6 separate regions of the Mus musculus genome follow, and all the other regions are reported to be linked to region 1. Evidence: microRNA targets listed by miRTarBase, many of them from high-throughput screens and not tested one by one. Region 1 holds a microRNA gene; each other region holds the end of a gene's coding sequence.

The links. Region 1 holds the annotated microRNA mmu-miR-301b-3p (CAGUGCAAUGGUAUUGUCAAAGC, at 1,660-1,682, shown strand). A microRNA usually pairs through its seed, bases 2 to 8, with sites in the 3' UTR of a target mRNA and lowers its output. Matches are read on the target gene's strand: a 7mer-m8 pairs with bases 2 to 8, a 7mer-A1 pairs with bases 2 to 7 and ends in A, and an 8mer does both.
Region 2: the mRNA of Ppp2ca is a reported target of mmu-miR-301b-3p. The part of its 3' UTR that is shown has no 7-base or 8-base seed match.
Region 3: miRTarBase lists Kif5a as a target of mmu-miR-301b-3p. The part of its 3' UTR that is shown has no 7-base or 8-base seed match.
Region 4: miRTarBase lists 5730455P16Rik as a target of mmu-miR-301b-3p. Seed matches in the 3' UTR shown: 7mer-m8 at 4,280-4,286.
Region 5: miRTarBase lists Jtb as a target of mmu-miR-301b-3p. Seed matches in the 3' UTR shown: 7mer-m8 at 1,024-1,030.
Region 6: miRTarBase lists Cyp4x1 as a target of mmu-miR-301b-3p. The part of its 3' UTR that is shown has no 7-base or 8-base seed match.

The regions. Positions count from the first base shown.
Region 1 is chr16:17,121,029-17,126,101 of GRCm38, reverse strand. It overlaps Mir301b (microRNA 301b), which reads left to right and starts at 1,606; the gene lies at 1,606-1,702. 2610318N02Rik (RIKEN cDNA 2610318N02 gene) reads left to right here and starts at 900. Exons shown (of 7, transcript NM_001358255.1): 1 at 900-1,112; 2 at 4,551-4,806; 3 at 5,023-5,073. The coding sequence starts at 4,585. It overlaps Mir130b (microRNA 130b), which reads left to right and starts at 1,960; the gene lies at 1,960-2,041.
Region 2 is chr11:52,121,605-52,126,677 of GRCm38, forward strand. It overlaps Ppp2ca (protein phosphatase 2 (formerly 2A), catalytic subunit, alpha isoform), which reads left to right. Exons shown (of 7, transcript NM_019411.4): 7 at 298-1,145. The coding sequence ends at 370. Among named protein-coding and RNA genes, the nearest start is that of Mir3061, 2.6 kb to the right of the region's middle.
Region 3 is chr10:127,225,424-127,230,496 of GRCm38, forward strand. It overlaps Kif5a (kinesin family member 5A), which reads right to left. Exons shown (of 29, transcript NM_001039000.4): 27 at 4,726-4,753; 28 at 4,322-4,433; 29 at 272-2,998. The coding sequence ends at 4,355. Among named protein-coding and RNA genes, the nearest start is that of Pip4k2c, 16 kb to the left of the region's middle.
Region 4 is chr11:80,359,443-80,364,515 of GRCm38, forward strand. It overlaps 5730455P16Rik (RIKEN cDNA 5730455P16 gene), which reads right to left. Exons shown (of 10, transcript NM_027472.3): 10 at 1,050-4,576. The coding sequence ends at 4,370. Among named protein-coding and RNA genes, the nearest start is that of 5730455P16Rik, 16 kb to the right of the region's middle.
Region 5 is chr3:90,234,587-90,239,659 of GRCm38, forward strand. Jtb (jumping translocation breakpoint) reads left to right here. Exons shown (of 5, transcript NM_206924.2): 5 at 797-1,254. The coding sequence ends at 953. It overlaps Creb3l4 (cAMP responsive element binding protein 3-like 4), which reads right to left. Exons shown (of 10, transcript NM_001307934.1): 5 at 4,298-4,393; 6 at 4,059-4,165; 7 at 3,897-3,965; 8 at 3,726-3,810; 9 at 3,464-3,560; 10 at 2,912-3,335. The coding sequence ends at 3,145. Among named protein-coding and RNA genes, the nearest start is that of Jtb, 5.5 kb to the left of the region's middle.
Region 6 is chr4:115,104,415-115,109,487 of GRCm38, forward strand. Cyp4x1 (cytochrome P450, family 4, subfamily x, polypeptide 1) reads right to left here. Exons shown (of 12, transcript NM_001003947.2): 12 at 1,909-4,442. The coding sequence ends at 4,268. Among named protein-coding and RNA genes, the nearest start is that of Pdzk1ip1, 18 kb to the left of the region's middle.

The sequences.
Region 1 (5,073 bases):
TATAGTTTCAGTTGCAGAGGATAGAAAGCCTTTTGACCTCCCTGAACACTAGGCATGTACATGGTGGTACAGACAGGCAAACAAAGCACCCATACACAAAAAATTACATTTAAAATTAAGTGGACAAAATGAGTTCTTGAAGATCGAAAACCAGCTCTGTCTGCTTTAAAAATATTTTCTTTCAGCCTTTGAGCTGGGGGGTAAAGATTCCCTGTCTCATATGGATATAACTAGGGGTAAAGCTCAGACGCCAGCTGCAAAACTCTGTTTTTCCCTTCGCTGACAGAACTGAGTAGAACACCTCAGGTTCTGGGTGCTAGGTGCTGTGTATCTTTGGACATATTAGCTCAGAAAGGTCACTTAATGAACTCTTACCCATAAAGTGGTTCACATTCTCAATGACATCAATGACATCAGAGCATTTCTTCACTTACAAAAAGTGCCAGGGCCTCCTCAGCCCAGCCAGAGGTTTCCTGATGACGATGCTCTGAAGTTGGACAGAAAGAGGGAAGGCCACGGTTTTTAAGTAAATGTCCCATCCTGGAGGAGCAATGAACAAATTTCTCGCGAAATACGAAGCATCCCCTAGGGGTTCATTCAACCGCTGGCTTGGCCAAAGGACACTTTGCCGGGATCTCAGAGCCCTCGCTAATTTGGTGAGCTGTGTAGTAAGCATGGACGCGCCCTCATGAGTATCACTATAATAACTACAGAGAAATGAGCTGGGAAAAGGCGGACAGAGCTCCTTTTCAAGAGTTATGAATGAGGAGAAAGTGTTTGTAGAACTCATTGTTAAAACGGTGGAGCCAAAACTCGGGCGCCTGGCCAATCGGAGCCTGGAGGCTATTTTGAAATCTTTCCAGCAGCAGCCAATAGGTGCGCAGGAGGCAAAGCTTGGTGTAGGCGCAAGCCAATGAGGCTGGCGCTGTGCCTTGAGGCCCGGGGCTCGGCCCTCGGGACTGTCAGATGGTTAAAGATGGAGCCGAGGGAGAGAGGGCGCCACGAGGTGCTGAGGTGCGGGGTTGTCCAGATATGACGGGGCCGCCGCCTACCTGGATCTTCCACTAAGCTTCACCTTGTCCCCCTGGTGAGAACAAGAGGTGTCTGTCCACGTGAGTAACTGGTCTGGGATAGGGTGTGCGGTGAGGCCAGGGAAACTCCAGATGCCAGGAAGCCCTAGTTCTGCTCTTCTAGGCAGGAGAATCTGTTAGGATAGAGTGCAGAACTCATACTGGGGGAATGGACCAAGGACCGGATCTCGGACTCCAAGGGCCTCACGTGCAAGGAGTGAAGTATCCCTCTTATTCTAGTTCTGGTCTGAAACAGGGTACAAGTAGTCCCACTGTGCTCCCCTCTGCAACTGAGCGCAGGCCTCTCTCCTTTGTGTTTGAGCCCCCTCGGGTGCTCGCCCTTCAGCTCCCTCCTTGGAGTACCTCACCAGAATCAGAAGCCTGTTAGAGAAAGTTTGAGTTCCCTGAAGTTAATAAGTCCAGAGGACTGCATCCGGGCTGGAATCCCGTCTGTTCTCCGAGCTTGGATAGATGTCCCACCCACCCATGGTGGTTGAATTTCCAGCGCAGCCCTGCGTGCAGCGAGGGCGATGGATTTCCTGCTGGCTGCGGGTGCTCTGACTAGGTTGCACTACTGTGCTGTGAGAAGCAGTGCAATGGTATTGTCAAAGCATCTGGGACCAGCCTCGAAGACCACCTCACCTACTGTTCCTTCTTTCTTCCCTTTCCAGGCCTGGCCCCTCAGGCCTGCAGGCCGTACCCTCCCCCTGCTCATTTTACTCTCTTCTCCATGGAAACTTGAGATTGTAGCCAGGCCCGTGTCTCTGGGGTCAGAGGGCATCCTTTGCTCAGGCCGAGGCTCCGCCCAGGTGGGCATGCGTTCTAGGTCTAAGATCCCACTCCAGCCACCCCAACTCCCCATGCCCCGCCCCACCCCGTGAGACTGACAGGCTTGTTGGACACTCTTTCCCTGTTGCACTACTGTGGGCCTCTGGGAAGCAGTGCAATGATGAAAGGGCATCTGTCGGGCCAGCTAAGGAGCCTGAGGAACAAAAGGGTCAGTGCTTGGATCATAGTCTTAGATAGAGATAGCTATCTCTAGCTAAAAGGATAAGGTGGATGCTGAGAACCATATTCCAAGGCTGGAACCAGTACAAAGGGGAGACCCCAGATTTGGAAAGGCTCCAGTCTCAAGCTCTTAGCCCCCTCCCCCCAGGTTAAGATAGGGGAGTCTGCTGCAGGGGGCGCGGCGGTGAGTGAATGGTAGGTAGCTCATGCCTTAAATCTCAGCACTTGGAAGGCAAAGGCAGGTGGATCACCCAGATCTAGGGCATCCTGGTCTACATAGTGAGTTTTAGGACAGCCAGGGATACACAGAGAAACCGTGTTTTGAGAAAAACCAAATTAACTAATTAATTAATTAATCAATTAAAAAAGAAAGAAAGATTGGTGAGCCCATGTCTGGAGGCTGATGCAGGAAGATTGTCTCAGTTTTGAAGCTGTCTGAAGAATCAAAACAAAACTAGGAACTCCAGGACCTTGTGGAGAGAAACAGATGTTCACCTCTTTGTATGGAAAAGGTTTGTATACCTTGCTTAGCCTTGACTGCCTCGGGAAGAACTGGACTCAGCCTTTCCTGAGATAACCACACCTTGGGTTCACACCTTGAGGCTCAGAAGAAGTGTCCTGCCTGGGCCAGATGGATGGACTTGGAACAAGAAGCCTGCAGAGTAGGCCTGCCAGCCATGTCTGCTTGCTCCTTTACAAAGAGGGTATGTGCTGAGTAGGAGAGGCATGGAGGTGTCTGGTATGTCTGCTTTCCAGACAGGGCTGGAGCTCATTTTTATTTATTTATTTATTTATTTATTTATTTAATTTATATGAGTGCACTGTAGCTGTCTTCAGACACACCAGAAGAGGCCATCGGATCCCATTACAGATGGTTGTGAGCCACCATGTGGTTGCTGGGATTTGAACTCAGGACCCCTGGAAGAACAGTGCTCTTAACCACTGAGCCATCTCTCCAGCCCTGGAGCTGAATTTTTAAGGATGCCCGATCCTTAGTGTGCTTGCAGAGTTACCTTTAGCGGCAAGACCCAATGGCCCATGCCTTTGAATGCAGCACAGGGAAGGCATGGGTAGGTAGATCTCTGTGAGTTCAAGGACAACCTGGTCTACCCTGCACGTTCCAGAAGAGCTATATTTACATGGTAAAGCCCTGTTTCAATGCACCCACCCCTCTTTTACAAACAAACAAAAACCTAGTAGGAGGTGGTCAGGCCTGCCTCCTTGAGAGGAGGCCCAGGCTTCCAGATTCCCTTTTGGGAATAGATTGAGAAAATCAGCCTTAATAGTACTCTAGCTCCACAAGTCCTGGCACCCATGGGGACTGCTCTGATACATAATGAGTCTCAGGCCTGACGGAGGGCTTTGATGGGGAAGAAGCAACCACACTCCTTTGTGGCTAGGGTAGACGTGTGTCAGCAGCTGTTGCCACAGCAGATCCATCCTGAGGTGCTAGGAATCCTAACATGTGCATATCTTACATATCTTACATGTGCATATCTTACATATCTTACATGTACATATCAGGGGAGGTCTGGGCCGCAAAGGATTTAGGTTGGCTAAGTCACTTCTGTGAATTTGAATTGGCTCAGGGTGTAGAACACTTGCCTATTATGCACAAGGTCCTGGGTTTAATCCCTAGCACTCCAGAGGGGAGGGGAGGGAGAGGAAGGTAGCGGAGGTAGGTGTGAGGAGAGGCCACAGGAGGACATCAAGACATAGAGCAAGTAAGTGGTCATGGGTGCAGGCATGCAGTCTCTAATCCCATTGTTTGGGAGGCAGAGTTCCAGCCTGGTCTACAGTGGATTCCAATATAGCTAGAATTACATAGGAGACCTTGTCTCAAAAAACAAGCAAAAGAAGTGGTCAGGACATGATCTGGAGAGGGATGTGTGTAATGCTTCCGAGTAGGTAGGAAACTCAGAGGGTGCAAAAGCCAGAGCTAAAGCCCTTTGGGGGGCAGAAGGAAGTCCTTTTGGATATTATCTTAGTGAACTGGAAAGTAGATTCAATTACCAGGGCGGTCTGGTAGGGCAGAGTATGGAGGGAACTGCAAACTGGGAGAGGGCTGGGTGCTTTGAAACGGAAAGGACCACGGCTCAGAAGGAGGTCAAAATCCAGGAGCTCAAAATCCAGAAGGTACCTGGGTGCCTTTGGCGGTCACAGTGAGGGGTGGAGCAGTGGGGGCGGGGTGGGGTGGGGAGCACACCAATGCGCATGCCTAGAGAAGTGAGCATTGTTACGCGTACTGGTGCTGGACCCGCCCCCTGTCTCTGTGGGCATTCATTCCCTGGGGTAGACCGGGAGGGGGGTGGGTAGTCTGGGGATCTGGAGTCTGCACTGCGGCTGTAGGGAGAGAGTGGGTACGCCCTGCAGTCCTCATCCCGATGGTTTCCCATCACCTTTCTCAGTCCTGGCCCTCGGGAGGGTCTCCCTGCCCCAGGAGCCCTGCCCCGACGGTCGTTCTACCCACAGGTAGCATCGACCCACCACCAGCAGTCCATTTCCAATGGAAGTCCTGGATGAGTTCGACAACGAATTCCCCCTGAGTGTGACCTTCTGCCAGCTCATTTCCGAGGATGACTTCGAGAGGCAAGCAGCGACCTACACAGAGCGTGCACTGCGACGACTCTTCCGCACCTTGGATCGCAACCCAGCACTGGCGGAGAGAGTCGTGCGGAAGGGCAAGCAGACTGAGTTCGAGCAGCGCGGGCTCCTCTGCAGCCTCTGGGTGCGAGCTGCGGGCAGCGGGCAGCAGAAGTCCACTAACTCCCTAAACTAGGGAGGATCTTTGAGGGTGGGACTTTGGCTGAGGGATGAATGGGGAGGTTATCTATTGGCTGGGGCAGCCAAAGGGGTCTTTCCGAAGCCAAGAATACCAAGCCTGAGGAAGGAGCAGGCAAGCGACTCTTTTCTGGCTTCCCGCCTTTTCTCCTCCGTATTGCAGGCGAAGTTTGTCTGCGCTGTGCAGGGGGATCTAAACCAGTGCAATGACATG
Region 2 (5,073 bases), not on the chromosome of region 1:
TCCTCAGTTAGAACTGTTCCCAGGTAATGGTTCTCTTGTGTCTGGTTAACAGCTAAAACTAACCATGTGTTTGTAGCCCAAGCTGGTCTAGAACTGTGATTTTCTTGCCTCAGTTTCCCAAGTGGTAATGTTAGAGCTGTGCCCCAATATACCTAGGTCTATTAAAGTTGGGTTCTATTCTTTTAAAATGTACTGAAGTTGGATGGGGAAGAAAATTTGAAAATTTGGAAGATGTTAGTTTTGTTAACTACATGGTATCTTCTGGAGTAGTAACACTGAGTCTTCCTTGTTTTTCAGCTTGCAGTTTGACCCAGCACCTCGTAGAGGCGAGCCACATGTCACTCGTCGTACCCCAGACTACTTCCTGTAATGAAAATGTAAACTTGTACAGTATTGCCATGAACCGTATATTGACCTAATGGAAATGGGAAGAGCAACAGTAACTCCAAAGTGTCAGAAAATAGTTAACATTCAAAAACTTGTTTTCACACGGACCAAAAGATGTGCCATATAAAATACAAAGCCTCTTGTCATCAACAGCCGTGACCACTTTAGAATGAACCAGTTCATTGCATGCTGACGCGACATTGTTGGTCAAGAATCCAGTTTCTGGCATAGCGCTATTTGTAGTTACTTTTGCTTTCTTGAGAGACTGCAGATATAGGATTAAACATTAACACCCGTGAGTCCAGTTGACTTCACTTAGCTGTAGCTTACTCAGCATGACTGTAGATGAGGATAGCAAACAATCATTGGAGCTTAATGAACATTTTTAAATAAGTACCAAGGCCTCCCCTCTTGTTGTGTTTCTTTCAGGGATACCATTAATTTAATTGTATGATTTGTCTGCACTCAGTTTCTCCCCTTCTCAAATCTCAGCCCCGCGTTGTTCTTTGTTACTGTCAGAAAACCTGGTGAGTTGTTTTGAACAGAACTGTTTCCCTCCTGTAAGATGATGTTACTGCACAAGTCACCGCAGTGTTTTCATAATAAACTTGAGAACTGAGAAAGTCAGGTTTGAATTGTATCAGTGGGCACGACTGGTGCTGTTTATTAACAAGATAAATCTATTGATCAATTTCAGAATTTGTAGAATCCCAGGTAAAGAAAAATAAAGATCAAGGCCACTGTGTAACCTCTCTGGCAACTCCTTGGTGTTCTTCAGAAGAACTTGGGGACCTGTTTGTCTGACATACCGCAGTTTGTCTTGTTGCTGGCCTGCGCTTGTGAAAGGAAATCTGTGCTGTTTTAGTGGGACTTGGTTGTTAAACCATAGAACTTGAGAGTTATGTTTTTAGGATTTTACTTAAAATGGCATGTTTTCAGGTAGAACTTAACAAACTAAATGATGTGTCTAATTAGTGTAGTTTCTGGTTACAAATATATTGCTATGTATATTTCATGGACTCTTTAAAATGATTGACAGAACGGTAAGTTCTTAACCAACATTTGTATATTTCTTGTCAAGTCATGTGATCTTAGAGTTAGTTAAACTTGTCTGGATAAGGTGTTAGAACCTTAGCTTGTGTTCCTTACCTGGTAAAGCAGTGAAGCCGAGTAGAAGCAATGCTGATGTGGGCTGATGTTTGCGCCAGGTCCGAGAATGGTGCCTGAGTGCCAAGCTCAGCGAGTAATGGGTTTCCCTTCTATTCTTTGACTTGGCTTAAAACCGAAGACAGTTCTTCTTGTGGGGACTGAATATTTGCTATTTTAAGCTATCTGGGCAAACATGAGGATGCTTGATCATTACTGTGTGAGTGTAGTAAATAAATGTTTCCTTGCTTTGTACTGTGTTGAATTTGGAACCAACAGTGAAGTTACAGTATTGCCCTGTATAAAAAAAAAAAAAAAAAAAAAAAAAACAAGCCAGTTTGTGAGTTAATTTTCTAAATCAAAAAAAACCCTAGGCCAGGTACTGGTGGCGCACACCTTTAATCCCAGCACTTGGGAGGCAGAGGCAGGCGCATTTCTGAGTTTGAGGCCAGCCTGGTCTACAGAGTGAGTTCCAGGACAGCCAGGGCTACACAGAGAAACCCTGTCTCAAAAAACCTTAGTTTTTCTAGGTGTCTTCTTTTTATTCTGAGTTCGAAGAAACACATTCTCCAGCCTGTTATTTGTGCTACTTCGTCTTTTCTTCCTGGCCAAACAAGTAACATCTATATACAGCACTGTTTTGTTTTGTTAGGGTGGGTTGTGGTAAGGGCAGGGCAACAGAGTCTTTCTGTTGCCCTGAGTGGCTGGGATCTTGCTATATAGGCCAAGCTGTCCTAGAACTCATGGATGATACTGCCTATATATGCCACCATGCCTGACTTAATGTACAGCACTTCTGATCCAACACTTGAGGGAGGTAGACACCAAGCAGCTGCACTGGGGATCCTGACGATAAAGAGGGCTCTAATGGAGTCTTTCCTATAGTTGACACATGTCATGTACATACAGATTCTCAGAATGGGGCTTGTGTCAAAGAGTGAGTGGTCTTAAAAGCATTCAGAGGCAATTACTAGGCTTCTCTTGAAATTTGAAAATGTTAATACTTTAACCTGATGTAAAATTAGTGAAAATGTGTGAGTTTAATAATTTCTTCAAAAAAATCAAATGATAGTTGGAAGGGAATCACTCAAATGAGAGAATTTTAATGGGCACTATAATGAGATTGCCATAATTTTTTAAGTCTTTTGATTAAGAGCAAAGAATTATCAAAAATGGGTGTTGTCAAGAAGTCTGGACAGGTGCTTAGCAGTCAATCTTGTAGCCCCCAGCTGCCTATAACTTCGACTCCAGAGGCCCTGATACTCTCTTCTGGTCTCCACGGCATCAGACACACATGTGGTGTACATGCCTGCAGGCAAACCACTCAAACAAAAAATAAAGATCAGTCTTTTTAAAAGACGTGTTAATGGCTACAAATGTAGTTCATTGGTAGAGCACTTGCCTAGCACATGTACTGTGCCCTGGGTTCCATCTCTAAAAGTTGTATATAATGACACATGTGTCACCCAGCATTGTGGAGGCAGATAGTGGATCTCGGTGCCTAAGAGTGAGTATTCAACAGGGAAGTGTACTTTGGATATGGTAAGGTGACTCAGCTGGTAAAGGCATAGTCACTTAGCAGCCACCCTGAAGACTCAAGCTCAGTCCATGGGATCTACGTGGTGGAAGGAGAAAACCAACTCCTGCAAGTTGTCCTCTGGCCTCCATGCACAAATGGTGATGTATGCACACACACAGATGTTTCAAAAAAGATAATTTAGGGGCTGGCGAGTGGAGCCAGAGTTAAGAACACACACTGCTCTTCAAGAGGACCCACATCCACCTCTGGTCTCCTTGGACATCAGTATTCATGTGCACATAAATTATTATTTTTTTATTAAAAGGTTGCTTTGAAACAATTTATAAAGCTTACTGTTGGGTTTGAGTACTTGAAGAAGATATGTATAATGGTTTTAGTAAAACAAAAACAATGTACTATCTAAGGTTTCCAGGTGATGTTTTGAGATTTGTACATTGTGTCAAGTCGGGCTATGTATGCCTCAAGCATTTATCATAATGGTCCTTGTAGCTATTTGAAATGAAACAAAAGTGTGGTGGTGTGGTTGCCACCTGCCTGTGTAATGGCACATCTGAGCCTCTTGAAATGTTCAGTGACCATTGGGAGACGGTTTGCCTTTCTTCATTACAAATGCACAGTGTCTCCCTTTCTTGACTTACTGTTTTGTTTATGTGTGTGGTGCTAACAGAGGCCTCTAGGTCCTCTGGAGCTTCAGAGTTGTGAGCTGCTGGTGTGAGTGCTTAAAGACCAAATCCAACCTCTGGAAGAGCCGCAGTTAATTCTGTGGTATTCAATCTTGATGCCCACATATTTTACTTTGAATTATTAGGAGCATAGTATGTCTAGGGTTAAGAACACTGCTGGGTGGGGCATGGTGACTCACATCTATGATATCAGCACTTGGGAGGCAGAGGCAGGTAAATGGATCTCTGAGTTCCAGGCCAATCCAGGATACATGGTGAAGCAGTCTTTTATCTTTTTGAGACGGAGTCTCACAATGTAGCTCTGGCTGTCCTGAAACAATATAGACCAGGCTGGCCTTGAACTTCCTTCTGCCTCCCAGTTGCTGGAATTAAAGGTATATATTACCGTGCCCAGCATAATCCTGTCTTAAAAGTAAATAACCATTGTAACTACAGCTGGATTTTGTGGTACTGGTGGTATCTTCTGGGGTAACTGGCTTTTACTGTGTTCCTGGAAACAGCCAATTTTTTGTTTGTTTGTTTTTTGAGACAGGGTTTCTCTGTATAGCCCTGGCTGTCCTGGAGCTCACTTTGTAGACCAGGCTGGCCTCAAACTCAGAAATCCGCCTGTCTCTGCCTCCCGAGTGCTGGGATTGAAGGCGTGCACCACCACACCCAGCGTAACAGCCAATAATTTATAGGCTTAATTTTGAAGTGGATTTTATTCTCCTGACCTAAACCTTTTTTTTTTTCCCTATAATCTCATAATTCTTTGACTGCTTTTACATTTTATAGACTTAAATCTTTTGGGTTAATTTTTCCACAATTGTGTCTATGTTAAAAATAACCTCTGCAAGGTTGTAAATGTGTTTGACCATGCCCCTTGCCAGTCTCTATATGGTAGAACTGTAAAGATACCGTGTCATTGTGACATTTTCATACGTGTGTGTGGTATACTGTGATGCATCACCATTTTTCTCATTTCCATTCTGTACCTTGATTGTATGGATTGCTTTTGTTTTGAGACAGGATCATCTTTTGTAGCTTGGCTGATCTCTGTTCAAATCAGCCAAGCTACATAATGAGAGAAAACAAAACTTGAGAAAGAGAAAACTTGCCTCTGTCCAAGTGCTGGGATTAAAGGTGTGGGCCACCACCGTCCAGCAATCTTACTTGACAGAGTAGAACTTTTAAAGGGTTCGTTTTGCTTTCTTTCTTATTTCTGTCTTCTGGTTGAGCTTTACACGCCTTTGGGGTATATAGGTCAGTCACATGTTGGAGACTGTTCAAGGTGCAACCTTTTTAGGACGTACCTCGAAGTTGTCATGAAGTGTTGGG
Region 3 (5,073 bases), not on the chromosome of region 1:
ATGCAGACCACCACCCTGGGCTAATGCGCTGGTTCTGTGCTTAGGAGCACCCCTTCTCTTTTCTCTCATAGAGGACCAGGGCTCAGTTTCACTGCCCACATCCCTGCTTACGACCATTGGTACCTCCAGTTCCTCAGGATTTAGTGCCCTATTCCAGCCTCCTAAGGGCACCAGGCACATACATGGTACATGTAAATATGTGCAGGCAAAACTTGTATCAACAAAAGGCAAACAAAAGCCCTTTGAAAAATGAATAAGAAGCAACAGCAAGTCGTCATCGAAGTTATTTTATTTTAAAGATATTTGTGTCCACCAAGTAAATACACACTGGGATTTGTGCGGTTTGGTTTTGTCTTCCACGCCGGCATGCAACATTTCACTTTGGCAGATGTAAGTGGGCGGGCCAGGGGCCCTGGTGGTGGCCTGGCTCTCTGAAAGGGATGTAGTGAAGGTAAGGGGGAGGATGTGGTGAGAACCTTCCGGTGAAGGGCTGTTTCTTTAGCATAGCAAATGGCCGTGTCCCTTACATCTTGCCGAGGAGGGAAGGCTGGCCACTGCCGCCCCCCTCCTCATCTGCTCTGCTGCACGCCTCCACATCTCCTCACTTGTATTTTGAAAAGGATCGTTTGGTGACAAGATCATGCAAACTCCCTCAGAATCCCAAGCATCCTCATCCTGCCAGCATGAGCCACAGGGAACACCCTTTTCCTTCCTTGCCCACTGTGTCTGAGGTGTGCGATTTGTCTGCACCTCCTGACCTTTCTTTTGAGTTGTGGTTTTAGAGAGTGTGTGTGTGTGTGGGGGGGGGGAGCAGACTGGACCCCTCTGGCAAATGAGTGAGTTCTAAGCTCTTAGGGCTATCTCAGGACCCTCCAATGAATGAAGCATTTTCCACTGTGAGGGGGTATGAAAAGAAAGAAATTATAACAAACGTTCCTCGCTCTGAATTACTTTACCATTTTGGTTGTTTCGTGTTGTTTGCGGTTCCAGAGATAGACTGAACCCTCAGACTTGTCACACTAAGTGTCTTCGCATGGTACCACTAAGCCATGGTCAAAGCCCTAGGTTCTGCTTAGTCATCAGATTTATTCTGAAGTGTTTGAAAATTGTCACTTGGGAGTTCTCCCATGCCAGTCTGATACTGTCTTCATCTCAATCACTCCCTACAGAGCAGAAACGGTCCCTTGAGGGAGTCACAGCCACTACAGCTCATAGTTGCCAGCTGTCACCCACAGGGAGTTTTCCTCCCAGGCCTAGCAGGGTCTGGACAGCAGGCTGCCCTCTGTTGGAGAGCCCTGGTCTCCCATCCTGGGATGGACTGGGTATCTGGATACTCAACTGTTTTTCTTGGCTTAGGCTGAGTACTGACCTTCATCCCTGCAGCTGTCTGGAAAAATACCTTAGCAGATGGGAGGACAGGACCATCTGAACTAAAGCAACGTCCGTCCTCTTCAGTGCTGGGCAGGAGGGGACCTGAGCTGAGATGGCAGTGGGGAAAGCATTAATTTCATGCTCTTAGCCCCTGCCAGTTCGGAAAAAAACTGTCCTGTCCCCACTTCCTTCCTTTCCTCCCTTCCTTCCTTTCTTTCCTTCCTTCCTCCCTTTCCTTACTTTTCCTTCCTTCCTTCCTTCCTCTTCCTTCTTCCCTTTCCTTCATTCTGAGATAGGATTTCCTCCCGTCATAGTACAAGCTCTCCTGGATCTAACTGTGTAGTCCAGGATAGCCTCAAATTTAGCAATTTTCCTACCTCGGCTTCCTGAGAGCAACATTCGAAAGTGTGAGCCACTACACCCAGCTTCTGCTTTTTTGCTTTTGCAGTGCTGGGATCAACAGCAGAGCTTTTTCCTGTGTCAGGGAGGCCGCCTGCCACCATGCTCCAACCTGCTCCCCCACCCCTGTCTTTAAAGTGCACTTGGGACCAGATGGAGATTACAGAAGGAACTGTGTTTGGGGGAGGAAGGTATACTGGGAACAGGCCAGATTCCATTCTGAAGGGACGGCATCTAGAGACGGCGATTATGCCAACAAACCGGAAGCCCCAAACCAAAGTCAGGAGTGGGAAGCACACACAGCCCAATATGGGAGAAAGAACGAGCTTGGAGCTTCAACCTGAGGGTTCTGTGACAGAGTAGCACACAGTAGTCCCTCAGCCTGCTCACTCCCCAGAGCCAGGGAGCCAACCATTCTGACTCCACCTGCGTATAACTATTGGCACAGACAGGTGAGCAGCGGTTTCTCAGCAGTCCGCCTTCTCGAATTTTCAGAAGATGTTTTAAACCAACTCTAAGTTCTGGTTGTGATATCTGGAGTGGAAAGTACAAGAGGCTTGGGCCAGAAAGGGAAACAGTCCCTTGAGTAGTCCATGCTCTCCAACCAGGGAAGGGAGCACAAGGCAGACCTCACAGGGCAGAGGAGACCGCCTCCAGTGTGCTGACTCCGGTGAGGGATGCGTATGTGTGAGGGAGAGAGCGGTGTCGCAACCTTCCACTGGGGCCTCCTCTGTGTTCTGTGTAAAGAGGGAAGGGGTCTATTTCTCTCTTTTCGTAGATGCTAAGACATTCCTCTGCTTAAGGCTTTGTATGTACACTGTGTGTGCATGCGTGTGTGCGTGTACACGTGTGTTTGTGAGAGAGAAGAAGGGCAGCCTCCCCGCTCCCATTTTTCCTTTATCTTTTGTGACCTCTACTCAGTGACTGACATCACTCGGTGTAAGAAACGAGTCTATGGAAGAAAGAAGAAATATTCCCTCCTCCCTAACGCCCAACGAGGAAGGGAGACTATGCTTAAAAACTGCTAAATACATCATCAGATACTTAGAGGGGAGGACAGAGAGGAGAGACAGCAGCAGCTTCTGATAGATAGATACAGAGTACAAAGAGATACGGAATAGGAGGAGACATCAAACAGTCCAACATCACGGGCTGGGGAGGGAGTTAGTGTCAGAGACCACAGGTTTTGCAGCATGCTGAGAGAAGAGGCCTCAGTCCCTCTTAGAAACTGGGGAAGAAAGAGAAAGAGGGTGTGAGGAGCCAGCCCGGCCTGGCCTCTGTGTAGGAACAGACAACATAGAACACCACGAAGCCAGCCCCACCCCCCACTGCCAGCCAGTCCAATCCATGTTTCTCCACCCCAAGTCTTGCCAGCATCCTCTCCCCCTTAACACATCTCTTTCTCTCCTGCTTTTCTGCCTGAGCCACTGTCCGGGGAAAGCCTGGGAGGGACGCGGCCTCGTGCATCTCAGCAAGACTGGACATTTTCTCTTGATTCAGCAAAGGAGCTATAAAGTGTACCATAACATAGGTCTCTCTGACCATCTGGGGTCTAAAACAAACATGGAATATGCCCGGTGACACCAGGTCCTGGTGTGATCGGGGACTTGGTGTGATTGGGGAGGTGTTGAAGCTGGAGGGTTAGTGGATGGGGAGGCAGCTGGTTTCCATTTTTACTGACCGTACTGTTGTTTCTAGCTAGAGACACCGAGAGTCTTTGGCAGCATATGTCAATCCAGGAGTAGTGCAGACATCACCTTTACACGAGGTGGCTTAGACATCTCTGTGTATCTAAGGCTATTTTAAGGCTATTTTAGGGTAAAGGCACAAGGTAGTAGACCGATGGACAGCAGCCCTTGCCTTTAACAAAAATTTTAATGTATGACAGTGACCCCTAGTGGTAGAAATGAGTACTGTGATTACCACCAGCACCTAAGGGAAGGCTTGGGGCCATGGGAGGTCAGGGTTGGCTATGAATGAGATTTGGGCTTTTTAGCAAATGTTTCTGTTTGGTTTTGATACAGGGTCTCATGAATCCAGGACTCCTTTGAACTCATGATCTCCCTGCCTCTGCCTCGTGCAGCCATACAGGGCCAAGCAGGAGTTGGAAGATTTTGGCTCAGTCACTAAGTGCTTACTGAACAGACATGAGGACTATGTTTGGATCCCCAGTACCCCAGGGGACAGAAATGGGCAGATATGGGGGGTGGGGTGGGACAGAGGGAGGGTGGGGAGGTGACTGACCAGCCAGTCTACCCCAAAACAGCAAGCTCCAGGTTCTGTGAGAGACCTCAAAAAGTAAGATGGAAAGTGAGAGAGGAAGACACCCACACCAAGGCTGGCCTGTGGATGTGAGCGCGCACACACACACACACACAAATGAAGACACCCACACCTACTAACCTTGGCCTCCTGATGTGGGTACACTCATGCACACACAACACACACATACAGACACATACAAACATATACACATACACATGAACAGGAGAAGCAGCCATGGCCAGACAGGAGGAGGCTGGGGCTAGGGAGGGAAGTGGCCTGCAGCTACCTGAAAGTGCAGATATGTGGCCAGGGTTGGGAGTTAGCTGGCTGCTGTCTCTTGGTGGAGAGGGAAAAGCTTGGCCTGGTCCTCAGCCTCATAGCCACACGGCAGGTCACTCCTGGAGGAAGAAACAGCCTGTCAACAGCTCTGCCCCCACTGCGGCCAGCACTCTGACAGCGTGCCTGAGATACTGAAGGGCGGGTGAGGGCAGGAAGGATGCAGGCTTCCTAAGGAACCTCAGGCCTTGCCCAAGGTCGGAACGTTCCCTGAGGTACGGAGAAAGTACCCATGGGAGTGCCTGGATCTCCTGCCTCATTTCTTCCCTCCTCCCCAGAGCTCCAGGGAAGTCCTCTTAGAGAAGTGTTATTCGATTTTTTTGGGTCCCGCCCAGAGACCCCAAGTCTGAGTACCTGTTGTCGTTGATATCTGTGGCATTTCCTGAAGGGATGAGAACACAGGGTTAGAAAAAAGCTGGCGTGAGGAACAGTCTTCACAACCCCTCCCATCCTGAAGCCCATGCCTCTGAACTGGTAAACTGAGGCACTCTACCCTCACCACTCCAGAAAATAGTGGGTTTGGCTGGAGACCTAAGCAAGCCCTTAGGAGAAAGCTGGTCCACATGAATCGTACCCAACCCCGGTACAACCCCTCCCTCCCCAGCTGTACCAGGAATGGGATGCAGGGCAGAAACCACACTAGGCACAGGCTGTTCCACGAGCTCTCCCTGACAGTATCGTTTTGTTTGACCCTCCAGTGAG
Region 4 (5,073 bases), not on the chromosome of region 1:
ACCATGCAATGATAGAGTGTGAGAAGCCATTCCTGGCTGGCCATGGTGCTGCATGATTTTAGTCTCAACACTTGGGAACGGAGGCAGGCAGATCTCTGAGTTTAAGGCTAGCCTGGCCTACAGATGGAGTTCCGGGACTGCCAGAGCTCCATAATAGAGACCCTGTCAACAAAGGGCCAGTTTCTGGCTAGGGAGAGAGCTCAATAACATGGCTGTGCAGCCATTGGGCCTTGAGTTAAGTTCCTCATACCCACGTGTGGTATACACTTGCCATTCCAGCATAGGGAAGGCAAATCCCTGGGACTTGGCCAGCCTAGTCTACTTGGCAAGCCCCAGGCCACACATACAAGGTCCTCTGGTCTCCACATATCCGTGCAAACACACACATGAACATGCACAATGAAGAGCCTGTCTCACTGCATCAGCCCAAGGCTATGAGGAACAGTTGGTAACTTTGAAATGTTTGCTCAGACTTCTCTTGTCAGCCCTGTCACTACTCCCTGTCACCAGAATTTCCAGCATCAAGTCCTGTCTCTCACTTTTGTTTTGCTTTGTTTGTTTGAGACAGGGTTTCTCTGTGTAGCCCTGGCTGTCCTGGAACTCACTCTGTAGACCAGGCTGGCCTGTGACTCAGAGATCCGCCTGCCTCCATTTAAAGGCCTGCACCACCACCTAGAGTCCTATCACTCTGAACAATGAGCAAGACAGGAAAGGACCTGAGCTACTGCGTCCTACAGGTGAAACTGTTTTTTACACAACAAATGAACCATTGTGAGAAACCTGTTTACCTCTTCTGTGTGCATTCCAACAGGTAATCTGAGTTTTTTTCACACATCTTTGTGTGTGTGTGAAGTATAATTTCCATGTAAAATTACTGGAAATAATTAAAGGTAAGAATTAAGCTCAGTTAGGTAAAACTACCTGCCTTGACCTGGAGTTTTATCACTGTTACACAGAGGCATTTTTACACAAGGCCAACATATTTCCTGCGTACTGCACATAAGCACTCGTTTACTTCGCATCTGAACAAACACTATTTAAGCCTTTAATATTTTAAAATTAATTATTTATTTACATTTCAAATGTTGCCCCCCTCCCAGCACCCCCTCTTAGAATTCTTCATCCTATTCCCCCTCCCCTTTGTTCTGAGAGGGTGTTCCTCCATCCCCCAAGCCTTTAAAATTTAATACATTCACATTAAAATTTGAATATGACAATAGGCTTATGGTTATGAGCTGTTTTTCATATCAACAAGATAATTAATTCCATGACATCTTTTTTCAGTGGTACAGAATTTTGCAGATTCTTTGTTTTTTTGTTTTGGTTTTTTTGAGACAGGGTTTCTCTGTATAGCCCTGGCTGTCCTGGAACTCACTCTGTAGACCAGGCTGACCTCGAACTCAGAAATCCGCCTGTCTCTGCCTATGCAGATTCTTTTTAAATATAAGACTACTATATACAATTGTGTAGTGTAGTGGGCTTACATTACAAAGAAGTACCTATAAATAAGCAAAGAATATAGAGTTATGTTTTTCCTATATCCACACGTGACTTAATGCATCTCCTTTATTATTGTTTTGGTTTTCTTTTTACCAAGACAGGGTTTCTCTGTGTAACTGGCTATTCTGTAACTCATTCTGTAGACCAGGCTGACTTTGAACTCAGAGATCCATCTGCCTCTGCCTCCTGAGGGCTGGGGTTAAAGGTGTGCACCACCATTGCCTGGCTGCATTTGCGTTTATTTTTATTATTTTTTGGTAGAGCATTTGCTTTTATTTATTATTGGTATATATATTATTATTTGTGTGCACAAACATTTGGAGGTCAGAGGACAATCCTCAGGAGCCATCTACCCTTCTGTTTTCTTGTTTGTTAATAGTTAGCTCTGAAGGATGCATAGACAGAGTGAGAGAGAGAGCAGCTTGCAGGAGTGAGCTCTCCCTCCACCTTCACATGGGCTCTAGACTTGCCAGCCAGGGCCTTTATCCATTGAGCTATCTTTTTTTTTTTTCCATTTGTTTTCAGATAAGGTCTCTGCTGGCCTGAAGCTTACCAAGTCAGCTGGGCTGGCAGTAAGAACTGAGTCTCCTCCCCAGTGCTGGGACTACAAGCACATGCTAGCACTCCTGCTTCTGTATTTAAGTCCCGAGGATCAAACTGAGGTCCTTACGTTTGCATAGCGAGTACTTTACACTGAGCTGTTTCCCTAACCCCTACACTTACTTTTAGAATTCTATTTGCTCCTGATTGTGAATTTAAAAATAAAGATTACTATTTTAGAGACTCAAAATCTCGATGTCCTAATGTCGCTCATTTTTAATGATTTCCAAGTGGGCACCAAGTGCATTGGGAAAAGATTCAAGAAAAGTACCACAGAGCTGCTGACTATCCAGCCGTCAGATAGCTATAAAAATGCTACTTACATTCTTTTCTATACTGCCTATAATCCAAGCTATTAAACTTTAAAGCCATATGAAAGCATTTATGAAGATACTGAATTGTATTTCTCATTAAAGGGAAAGGAAGGGCGTGGTGACTCCTATCCCTAGACTGACTTATGGAGAAGCAAAGGCAGAAAGCCATATCATTAGTCTCTTTGAAAGTTAGAACTCAGCTCCTAGCAGGGTTTACAAGCAGTTAAGAATGCCTCCGTTTCACAGACTCATGCTCCTCTGAGCATCCCAAAGGCAGTGAGAACATAAGCCTTCTGATTTTCTAAACCAAATTCATTACCAAATGGATTTATTAAAGAGCTATGCAGAACAGCTACGCGTGTGGCTGCAGCTGGCACCCATGGGATGAGAAATGACGACTCAAGGGCTCTTGCAATTGACTCAGGGCAAAACGATCTGAGGCTTATGACAGACAGAAAGATCTAAAATCAATGAGCAATTGTGTTGAGAGGAATTTGTTTACATTTTTTAATTTTTAAAATATTGTTTATTTTCTTATTTATTGAGACAGGGACTCACTCTGTAATTCTGGCTGGCCTGAAGCTTACTATATAACTCAGTAAATCAGACTGGCCCTGAACTCAGGGAGTTCCAACTGCCTACGTCTTGTGGAAGGTTACATTCAAAGACATGAATCACCACATGTGCATTCTTATATTTGCTTGTAAAGGATATTTCCTATATTAACTGTTTTATTTCCCTTTTTCTTAATACTGCTTAAGAATTCCAGCATTTTTATCTAGAAATAAGGAAGAAAAAAATACAGGCTCCTGGCAAATAAATACCTATTGTGTAAATTGCCACAAGAGCTTTTTAGTCAGAGAGAATGTTTCATCTTGAAGCTAGTATACCCTTTCTTCTCTCTCTTCCTCTTTCTTTTCTTTCTTACTGGTTTTAGATTATTTTATGTGTATGTTTTGTCTGCATGTATATCTATACACTACATGTGTGCCTGACGCTTGAGGAGGTCAGAACAGGGTGTCAAATCCCCTGAAATTGAGCCACCAGGTAGGTGCCGGCTCCTCTCCAAGAGCAACAATGCTCTTAACTGCTGAGCTGCCTCTCCAGCCCACCATATCTTCATGTATTTATTTATTGAGTATGTAGCTCTGTATGGGTCAGAGGCAACTTGTGGAGTTGGTTCTCTCCTACCAAGTGAGTTTGGGGATTGAACATAGGTTGTCAGACTTGGTGGCAGGTTTCTTTACCTTCTGAGCCACCTTGCCAGCCCACAAGTTTCTATACATAAAGCTCATTTTTAAGTGCTTATACACTCATAATTCGTGTGTATATTCGCTTCAAAAGGTGGCTTCGTCATTCCTGCCCATTGGTTTGTATCAGGCACTCAGAGGATGAACAGGCTGTCAATGAAGCGAGCTGATGGTGCAGTAAGACCAGGAAGGTGATGACTGCCCTGTAGTCCAAGCTGGACATAAACTTACTCAGTAGCTCAGGCTGGCCTGGAACCTCACAACCTCCTGCCTCAACCTCCTGAGTAGCTGGGATTATAGGCATGTGTCATCACATCTTGCTAGGATCATGTACTTTACAAACTTCTACATTGTACTGAGAAAGGCATACTATGTTTCTTTTGGAGGAGGAAATCCTGCTAAACACTACGGTAAACTCCCAAGAAGCCAAAACTCATCTCCAGAGCTCTTTAGGCAGCACGTGCTTAGGATTTATGAGACAGCAAAATTCCCCAGCTGTAACACAGCGTCTGCCTAGGACCTGGTGAAGACATTCCTCTGATTGTTGTGTTTAATTAAATTAAACAAAAAAAGCACAAAAGGAAGAAGCTGGGGTGTTTCCAGTCATCTTAGGGCAGTGCAATCCTATAAACAATGGTAATTACAGCCCCCACATGCAGCCTCAATACACTCCATGAAACAGATCCTCAACACGGGACTGGAACTTCAGACAAGCGCTTCTCTCATGAATTCTTCAAGGACAGCCACCACACTTTTGGCCTCGGGCATTTCTTCATGTTCCACTTTAACAATCTTCAAAAGGATATCTCCACTGCCACAGTTCTTAAGGAACATGTAACATTTAAACAGAGCGTAATGATTCATCTCTGCCTGTCGGATAAATCTCTTCAAATTGTTTGTGTCTTGTATAGCCTAGAAAAAGATTGCCCTGTAAGTATGTTCAGTGACATGATGATGATGCTTGAAAAATACCCCGTCTCTAGCTGAACACTCATCGGACACTGATAATGTCGGCTTTTGTTTTGTCTCTTGACACAGGGTCTCACTATGTAGCTCTGGCTGGTCTTGAACTCTGTCTCCTGAGTGCTGGGATTAAAGTTATGTACTACCCACCCTGCTAATGTTGAACTTTAAAAAAAATACCCATTATTCCTATTGCTAAAATGCTTGCCTTTAGTGTAAAAGAATCTCACTTTAAAAAGACTTTTAAAAAAAAAAATAGCTCCTGGTACTGGAGAGATGGCTCAGCAGTTAAGAACACTGACTGCTCTTCCAGAGGTCCTGAGTCCAGTCCAATTCCCAGCAACCACATGGGGGCTCATAACCATCTGTAATGGGATCTGATGCCCTCTTCTGGTATGTCTGAAGACAGCTACAGTGTACTCATATACATTAAATAAATAAATAAA
Region 5 (5,073 bases), not on the chromosome of region 1:
CTAAGAGAGCCTGATTAGATGCTTCAGTGATTGAAGGCACTTAGCACTATTGCAGAGAACCCTGTTTCAGTTCTCAGCACCTACAAAGTTGGTCTGACTCCAGTTCCCAGGTATCTGCCAGCACCCTCTTTTGGCCTCCTTGGGCATTAAGCACACATATGGATGCTAGAAGTATAGAACTCATTTCAGCAAGTTGTCTTCTAATTGGTTGTTTGTGTGTGTGTGTGTGTGTGTTTGTGTGTGTGTGTTTTCAGACAGGGACAATGGCAACCTCTTCCTTGGCATGAGTATGCACACACAAAATATAAAAAACAAATATAACTTCTTTTTAAAAAAGGAAGAAGAGCTGGGCGTGGTAGTACACCTTATAATCCTAGCATTTGGGAAGTGGAGGCAGGGGAGTTGGGAGTTCAAGGGCAGCTTGAACTACCTGAGACTTTTTTGTTTGTTTTGTTTTTGAGATAGGGTTTCTTTGTATGGATCTGGCTCTCCTAGAACTTGCTGTGTAGTCCAGGCTGGCTTTGAACTCAGATCTCTCTACCTTTGCCTCCCCAGTGCTGGGATTAAAGGCATGGACCACCACCACCACCAGCACCCGGTGAAACTTTATCAGAAAAAAAAAAAAGCAATCAAACTGGTTAATGCTGCTCTGTTTATCTCATCGGAGGCTACAGATTAACTACAGACTAACTAGTTTCTCTTATTTTCAGATAGTGTTTTGGGTGGGCTGCCATGAAGAATGGTAATTAAGAGAAACTGACTTTCCCTGGGAGTGACTGTCCTTTTCTGCCCTCAGCTGCCGTTCGGCTCTACTGGAACAACACTTATTCTGGAAATTTGAAGGCGTTGTGGTGGCTGTAGCTTTAGTCTTCGCCTGCCTTGTCATCGTTCGTCAGCGACAACTGGACAGAAAGGCTCTTGAAAAAGTCAGGAAGCAAATTGAGTCCATATAGCTGAATTTCTACTGTATTATGGTGGCTCTTTACGGACTGTATCTCAGATGGAGAAAGTTCAGCGGCTAATTTGCACTCGTAAACCTGTGGTAGTAGCATTTTCAATGACTTCCTCTTCTAGACCATTAATGAGCACAATAAAAAGTAAAATAGAGCTGGACATGACACAGACTTGGAATCCCAGCACTTGAGAGAATGAGGCAGGAGGATCCTTGGTAACTTTGTAGGCCGACTAGGCTGAACTACATAGTAAGCCTGTCTTTAAAGAGAAAACGGAAATAATAAAGGAGTAAAGAGTTTCCTTTAGTGTAATCATTTGGCTTGGGGAAGACTGGGGGAGGTGGGAGATGCCTTAAATCCTAGCACTTGGGCAGCAGAGAGAGGCAGATCTCTGTGAGTTCAAGACCAGCTTGGACGACATATGGAGCTCCAGGCCAGCAAGGAATACTTAGTAAGACCCTGTCTCAAAAAATTAATTAAAAGCCGGGCGGTGGTAGCACACATCTTTAATCCCAGCACTCGGGAGGCAGAGGCAGGCGGATTTCTGAGTTGGAGGCTACCCTGATCTACAAAGTGAGTTCCAGGACAGCCAGGGCTATACAGAGAAACCCTGTCTCGAAAAAAAAAAAACAACAAAAAAGAAAAAATATTAATTAAATTAAAAAGGGTTGGTGAGTTGGCTCAGTGCTAAAGATCACTTGCTGGGGGCTGGAGAGATGACTACGCTGACTGCTCTTCCAGAGGTCCTGAGTTCAGTTCTCAGCAACCACATGGTGGCTCACAACCATCTGTAATAGGGTCTGATGCTCTCTTCTGGTGTGTCTGAAGACAGTTATAGTGTACTCATATGCATAAAACAAATCTTTAAAAAAAAAGAAAAAAAAGCACTTGCTGCTCTTACCCAGGATAAGGGTTTGGTTCCCAGCTCCCAAGCCCTGTGGCTCACAGTCACTTATAATCCTAGCTTCAGGAGCTGTGATACCCTGTGGCTTCTATGGGCTTGCAGTAAGTGACACAGATAAACTCATGCAGAAACAGACATACATACAAGGAAAAACGAGTACTTCCCTTCTTGGATATAGTCTTTCCATGTATCTAAGCCATTTGTCTGTACGGTGTGTGTGTGTCTGGTACACATGGAGTCCAGAAGAGGATACCAAATCCTGAGCTGCTGCATGGTGTAGGAGCTTGAATATGAGTCCTCTGAAAGAGGAATAAATGTTCTTAACCACTTCTTCAGCCACCAAATGAATAAACCTTTTTAAAAAATAGTACTTTAATATGGGGAAAGAAGACCTGGGTACAGTGAGAGAAGAGAAACGATTTCGAGAGTTAACTATTACCTCTCCCTTTTATTGCTTTAAAATTGTTTTAGATTTATTTATCTTTTGTGTGTGCAAATGGTTTACCTGCATGCACATGGACCATTTGCATGTCTGGCTGGTGCCGTAAGAACAGGACATTGGGTCTTTGGGAACTGAAGTTATAGATGGCTAAGAGTCACCCAGAAAGTGCTATGAACCAGATCCAGGTCTTCTGTGTAACAACAAATGTTCTTAGCTACTGAGCCAGTCTGCCATCTTTTATATAAAGTTTCTGGGCTGGCAGAGGGCTCAGGTACTAAAGATGCTTTGGTGCAGTGGCTAGAGAGATGGCTGCAGTTAAGACAACGTGCTACTTTCTCAGAGGACTGTACTTGGCTCACGGCTACGGCTACCAGCTCCAGGGGAATCCATTGCCCATATGTTATGGATTCACATAGAAACACATACACATAAATAAAAATGTTAAAAAAAAATTCTGTTGCATAGGCCTGATGACCTAAGTTTGATTCTTAGAATACGTGGTGAGAAGAAAGAACCCAAAAGTTGCCCTTGGACCTTCACATGTATATTATACTATATATATATTACACACCCTACTTATACACAATAATAAACACAATTTCCAAGCTGGATGTGGTACTATATACTTGTAGGCAAGTCAAGAGTTTGAGACCAGCTTAGTTTACATAGTGAAAAACTTGGGATAGAATTTGAGCTAGGAAGTTTATTTCCAAGTTAAAACTTGTTTCCCTTTGACCTTACCACAAAGAAGAAATGAAATCACAAATGTATGACAAGCATTTGAGGTGCCCTGCCACATGATAAAAGGTGATAGGGAAGCCTGTGTGGTGTCTTGTGTGATTGGCTTACATCTCATCTGTATGCACCATTCCCCTGATCTGTCCAGGGGGTCTCGCCTTCACTCGCATCTTCAGATGTGTCTTTGTTGAACCATTTGTAGTTGGGGCTTCAGGTAGCTCCTCCAGTTTGGACTTTAGCACTGGACTCTCCAGGTTTTCTGTTACGTTCTCGTGAGTCAAGATATTTCTGGAAATCACTGAGGAGAGAGGGTGATGGTAGACCATTTGCTTGGGTAGGAGACTGGCCCAGAACTCCTACTTGTTGACTGTTTTGGAGAATTGTTTCGTGGCTCATCCTTGGGGCTGCTGTACCCTTGCCTCTTACCTCCATGAAGCTGATAATCCTCGGGCCTAGCTTCTGATTGACCCTGAAAGGGGCTGAAACTGGGCAGGATGATGAGAGCCAGTGAAAAAAGAAGAATCTGAAAAGGAACAGGAAGGTACTTGGGCTTTGGGGACAACAGAGGATGAAGGCATAGGGAATAGAGGGTCATAGAGGTGTCACAGTTTGGAGAACAGGGCTGGGCAGGTGTTAGGTGGAAGTGTGGAGGGTGGCAGATGGGAAGTAAGGAACATGCTGATGGTACCAGAACACAGGTGCTGGTCTGGGCAGCTCTGCTGGAGGTCTGAGCAGTGAGCTTCTGTAACTGGCGGACCTGTTCCATCAAGAAGCTAGGAGAAGGAGGGAGAGTCAGCCTGAGAACGGCTTCCCTGTGACTGGCTCCTGCCCTCTCCTTCATCCAGACACTATCACTCACATGTTCTGCCTCTCCAGCTCCTGGACCTTTCTCTGTAGTTTCTGATTCTGTTCCGAACAGGCCGCCACTCTAGGGAGTGTGGAGAAGCAGAGCAGGCTTGGCAGATGGCCCCTTAACATGCTTTGGTGAGAGAAAGGGGGCCCAGACACCACCCAAGCATACCTGCTCTCCAGCCCATCTAAGTATTCTTTCTTCCGCCGCCGGCTGTCCTGAGCCGACTGCTTGTTGCGGATTTTCCTCCTGATCTTCTTGAGTATTCTCTCCTCTGCCTGGAGGTTCAGGGTGTTCAGTGCTAGACCCTTAGCCTCCCACAACTCCCCAGATGTTCCCTGGGATCCAGGCTCTCTACAGGTTGAGTGGAGCCTCTGTGATGGGGACACCCTTTTGGGGACCATTGTTACCTTGGTGAGGGGCAGGTGAGAGGGCAGAGTAATCCCTTCTTGTGCCAGCAGTTGCTTTTCTTCATCTGTCAGGAACAGATGATGTTGGCAGGACGGCTGGGAGGAGTGGCAGAAGAAGAGTGGGGTCAAGGTCACCTGCTTCCAAAGCTCAAACTGCCCTTCTGCCCCAACCTGCTTTCAGAAGAGGGCTTTCTGTCTGCACCGAGTGATAAGGTAAGGTCAGAGCAGAAAGGTCATTCAGGAAGGTTCCGTGGCAAGCCAAAGGGCCTCCCTGAAGCTGAGGAGGTAGAGTGAAGGTTTTTGTCCACACAGAATCTTGGCATTACATTACAGGCAAGCTAGAGAAGGCCTCTTCTGGTATCTTGGGACAATCAGAAGAGAACTTTGAATTCACTATGGTGAGCTTGGTTGGGTTTCCTTATATCAGGTAAACAATTTAGCCATTAACTTCTGTTCAGTAAACCATGTGGTAGCCTGACAAGGGCAGGTGCGTGCAGTTTATCATTCCTGGGCTCTAAGCTCCACCTGTTAGGTCGAGCCACTCACCCTCAGACAAGGACTTTCCTTCCATCCTTCCATTTATTTTTATTTTATGTGCATTGGCATTTTGCCTGCATATATGTCTGTGTGATGGTGTCAGATCCCCTGGAACTGGAGTTACAGGCAGGTGTGAGCTGCCATGTGGGAGCTGGAAATGGAGCCAGGATCCTCATGCTCGCAACCACTGAGCCACCATCTCTCCAGCCCCAAGAAAAGGAGTCAGCCAGGCTGACTTC
Region 6 (5,073 bases), not on the chromosome of region 1:
AAGTTCTCTTTACTCTTTTAAATGCCATCAAAGTCACTTCCATGTTCATTTCTCCTACAGTCCACTGCCACCACTCTTGGCAAGCAGCATCTACTTTTTACTTTTTTTTCCTTTTAATTCAGGGGAGAAAATGAACACAATTCTCAACTACAAGTCAAATCTCAGGAGTCAGCAATGGATGAGCCGTGTCCTAGGAAAACCACCTTCATGACCATGGTATCTTTTCCAACAGCTAAGCATGCAGCATCTATTCTTATCTGTGACCTAGCATTCTGATTGTGTACATACATTTCTTCTGGTTTCTCCTTCTGCCCCACTCTATCCTATCAATAATTTGTTCATTATCCATGCAACAGATGTAACCCTGCCTCTCCCTCTCTTTTCTCTCCCTACACACACACACACACACACACACACACACACACACACACACACACACACACACACACAGTCTCTTTCTTTTGACACACATCCACACCCCCTTTTCTCTGTAGTCCAGGCTGGTCTTGAACTTATGATTCTTTTGCTTTAGCCTTTCAAGTGATGGGGTTATAAGTATGCATCACTACATCCAGAAAACCTTTTAAAAGTGCAGTTCACTCTAGTTTTATCTCTAGTTGAAAACTCCTCAAAGGGCTTCCTCTATATTTAAAAACCAATCTAATTTCTGATTAGGTTCCAATGAGTGATGAATTTAGTTCCCATTTAGGCTTCATAAGAGTAGTTAGCAACAGAAATGTAAGTAGAATATTTTTGTAGTAGTGTAAGTTTAGACATTCTTTTCGTTTTGTTTTGTTTTTCGAGACAGGGTTTCTCTGTATAGCCCTGGCTGTCCTGGAACTCACTTTGTAGACCAGGCTGGCCTCGAACTCAGAAATCCGCCTACCTCTGCTTCCTGAGATTAAAGGTGTGCGCCACCATGCTCGGCAAATTTAGACATTCTTTTTTTTTTTTTTTTTTTTTTTAAAGATTTTATTTATTTATTATATGTAAGTACACTGTAGCTGTCTTCAGACACACCAGAAGAGGGCATCAGATCTCATTACGGGTGGTTGTGAGCCACCATGTGGTTGCTGGGATTTGAACTTCGGACCTTCGGAAGAGCAGTCGGGTGCTCTTACCCAATGAGCCATCTCACCAGCCCCAAATTTAGACATTCTTATTCAAGATTCAAAACCAAGAAACCATAAAGAAAAGTGTGTATACAAATCTGACATCATTAAAATCAAAGCATTTCATATGTAAAAGAACCACACCTACAAGTTAATAAGAGTAAAAGAATCTGAAATATTACAAAGAAAAGTTATAAGCAAGACTTATTATCCATAATATATGAAGAATATATGGATAACTAAGAAAAAACATCATACAAAAATAAAGATAGTGTTGTCTCCATAAAGATAGGGACTAGGTAGGTAGCTCAATAGGTAAAATCTTGCTTTGCAAACCTGAGGACTTGGGTTTAATCCCCAGATCCCATGTGGAAATAGTGAGGCATGGGGGTGGGGAGTGGTACATGCTTGTAATCCCAGAGCTGGGGCGGTAAAGACAGGCAGATCATGGGGCTCAGTAGCCATCTAGCCAAACCTACTGGGTGAGCTTTGGGCTAGTAAGAGATCCTGTCTGAAAAAGCATGGCAGATGAAACCTGAAAAATGATACTCGAGGTTTGCCTCTGGCCTCTATATGCTTCTACATACACGTGAATACACACCTGGACCTGAGTACACATGCATGCATGTGCTCACACATACACACACACACACACAGACACACACACACACACACACACACACACACACACACAGTCAATAAATACATTTAAAAATTATAACTAATTTAATTTATCCAGTAATAGAAATATTTTGAAACAAATCATAGAACACTCACATATCTCAACCTTATAATAAGGTGGATTAGGGCAATTTTTTAATTATGTGAGAAAAACAAGAAGAATACAAATATGATCACATGTCTAAGAGTGCACACACACATTATTTATGCAGGAAAGAGTCAGGAAGAATGCATACAATTCTGTTTTTAGAGAAAGCAGTAGACTCTGTCAGGGCAGTAGCCCTGGTGAGGTGGGATTTTATGAACACCTCCTATTGCTGGAAATGTTTTTCATCCAATACAAATCCTGTTATTTGTATAATTCCAAAAACAATAAAAAACAAACAGAAAATCATCACTAGGTGTAGGCTTAGATTTTTCATTAAGCCTACTTTAATAAAGATTCTTTTTTTTTGTTTTTTTTTTAAGCCAACAGAAAGTCTTTATTAACCAGTCATTGACAACCATAGGTGTTCAAGATCCCAGTGTAGCCCCGAGTGTAGCCTTTCTTTCTTTTTTTTTTTTTAAAGATTTATTTATTTATTATATGCAAGTACACTGTAGCTGTCGTCAGACACACCAGAAGAGGGCATCAGATCTCATTTCGGGTGGTTGTGAGCCACCATGTGGTTGCTGGGATTTGAACTCTGGACCTTCGGAAGAGCAGTCGGGTGCTCTTACCCACTGAGCCATCTCACCAGCCCCTAATAAAGATTCTTAATGCTTCAACCTCCTTTATACCCCACAGACCAAAGGTGGGGAAGGAAGATGGTTAATAGGACAAGGAGGACATGGACCTAGTTGGATGGACCTGGAGGGCATCATCCTGAGTGAGGTAACCCCACCACAAAGGAACTCACAAAATATGTACTCACTGATAAGTGGATATTAGCCCAGAAACTTAGGATACTCAAGATATAAGATACAATTTGCTAAAGGCATGAAACTCAAGAAGAACGAAGACCAAAGTGTGGACACTTTTCCCCTTCTTAGAATTGGGAACAAAACACCCATGGAAAGGAGTTACAGAGACAATGTTTGGAGCTGTGACGAAAGGATGGACCATCTAGAGACTGCCATATCTGGGGATCCATCCCATAATCAGCTTCCAAACGCTGACACCATTGCACACAGTAGCAAGATTTTGCTGAAAGGACCCTGATATAGCTGTCTCTTGTGAGACTATGCTGGGGCCTAGCAAACACAGAAGTGGATGCTCACAGTCAGCTATTGGATGGATCACAGGGCCCCCGATGGAGAAGCTAGAGAAAATACCCAAGGAGCTAAAGGGATCTGCAACCCTATAGGTAGAACAACATCATGAACTAACCAGTACCCCTGAGCTCTTGACTCTAGCTGCATATGTATCAGAAGATGGCTTAGTTGGCCATCACTGGAAAGAGAGGCCCATTGGACTTGCAAATTTTATATGCCCCAGTACAGGGGAACGCCAGGGCCAAAAAGTGGGAGTGGGTGGTAGGGTATGGGGGACTTTTGGTATAGCATTGGAAATGTAAATGAGGAAAATACCTAACAAAAAAAATCATAAAAAAAGAAGTAGTTCTTTGAGGTGATTCCAATCTTAATCGTTAGCATACCAGTCCACTAGCAAAACACCAAACATGAACAAGCAGCAGCTTGATCCAGAAGAAACTGAATGGAGTCCCCTGAAGCAGCAAGAAGCAGCTGGAACACCTCTTGAAGCTCTTGGCTGAGTTTCTCTCTACGGAGTCCTGACAAATAAAGATCAGTGAGGAAAGCAAGGTGAACCAATGCCAGAGTTGCTCACTGTCTGTTGGGTTATACGTACACTCTTTTCAAACATCATGTATCCTCTTAAGCATCACTTTCAGCGAAACACCCCATGCCCTTTCACCAGGCAGCTTCCAGAAGAACACCATGTGTCTGCTTCAGCAAAACATCCTCCCATGTGTCTTCTTCAGCAAAACAACCTCTTATGTGTCTTCTTCAGCAAAACAACCTCTCATGTGTCTTCTTCAGCAAAACATCCTCTCATGTGTCTTCTTCAGCAAAACAACCTCTCATGTGTCTTCTTCAGCAAAACATCCTCTCATGTGTCTGCTTCAGCAAAACAACCTCTCATGTGTCTTCTTCAGCAAAACATCCTCTCATAAGACAGCTTCCAGAAGAACATCACATGGCACAACTGAGTCTCCAGTGAACTCAGAAATTCCCACTTCAGATAAGATTGGTAATAACCATTAGAAAATAATTTGACAATCTCTCCAAGTTATACTTATCAGGGTCACATGTGTTACCTGAAAATAACTTTGGGTAATGTGCAGCTGTAGAAATGCTCCAACCCACAGTCCTCCAAGGCTTCTATCAATCTTAGATTCTTTTCCACTTGCCTGGACCATGGGCTGTAAATTTAACTTAACAACAAACATAAATTTCGCCATTTCTCCTAGTATCTAACACTCAAGGAGTTTCTTCAGGTGCAAATAGATTCCATGCTTGGGTCTGAGGACAGTGTGGCTGGAGAAGGCAGGAGGCCTGGTGAGGTCTGGAGCTACTTGAAAGTGGAGCAGAATCAAGGCAATGGCCACCTTTAGCTCCAGCATGGCAAACTGCTGCCCGATGCAGTTCCTGTAGACACCAAGGGAGAGAGAGGGGTAAGTTTCTAGAATAAGTCTGGAGTCCACAGCTGCTTAGCAGTTTCCTCTGATTGAAACATTCTTTTCAGGAGGAAGGGAAAAGGACTTATGTCCATGTCTGGATAAACCATGACTTGGGAGTTTCATGAGGGCTCTTCCCAGAGTTATAGAAGCAGTAAAGAACTGCTGGGAAGGAGACTGACCAGCTGTGCTACCCAGAGTCCTCTCAGACATATCCAGATGCCTACAAGTTGTGTAGAGAGCTCCAGAGTGGTAGCTTTTGTGAACAGTCACTTGTGCTGGTTTGGGCTTTTGGGTGATGTAGCTTGTGGTGGTTTGAATGGAAGTGCCCCCCAATAGGATCTTATGTTTGAATATTTGGTCCACAGTTGATGGAACAGTATGGGAAGGACTAGGAAGTGTGTCTTGTTGAAGGATGTGTTGCTCTGGGATGTTCTAAAAGCCTAGCCATTCCCAGTTAGCTCTCTCTCTCTCTCTCTCTCTCTCTCTCTCTCTCTCTCTCTCTCTCTCTCTCTGTCTCTGCCTGGTGCTTGTAAATCAGACTTTAGCATCAGACTTTAGCTCTCAGCTACTGCTCTAGTGTAACACCTGCATGCCTGCTG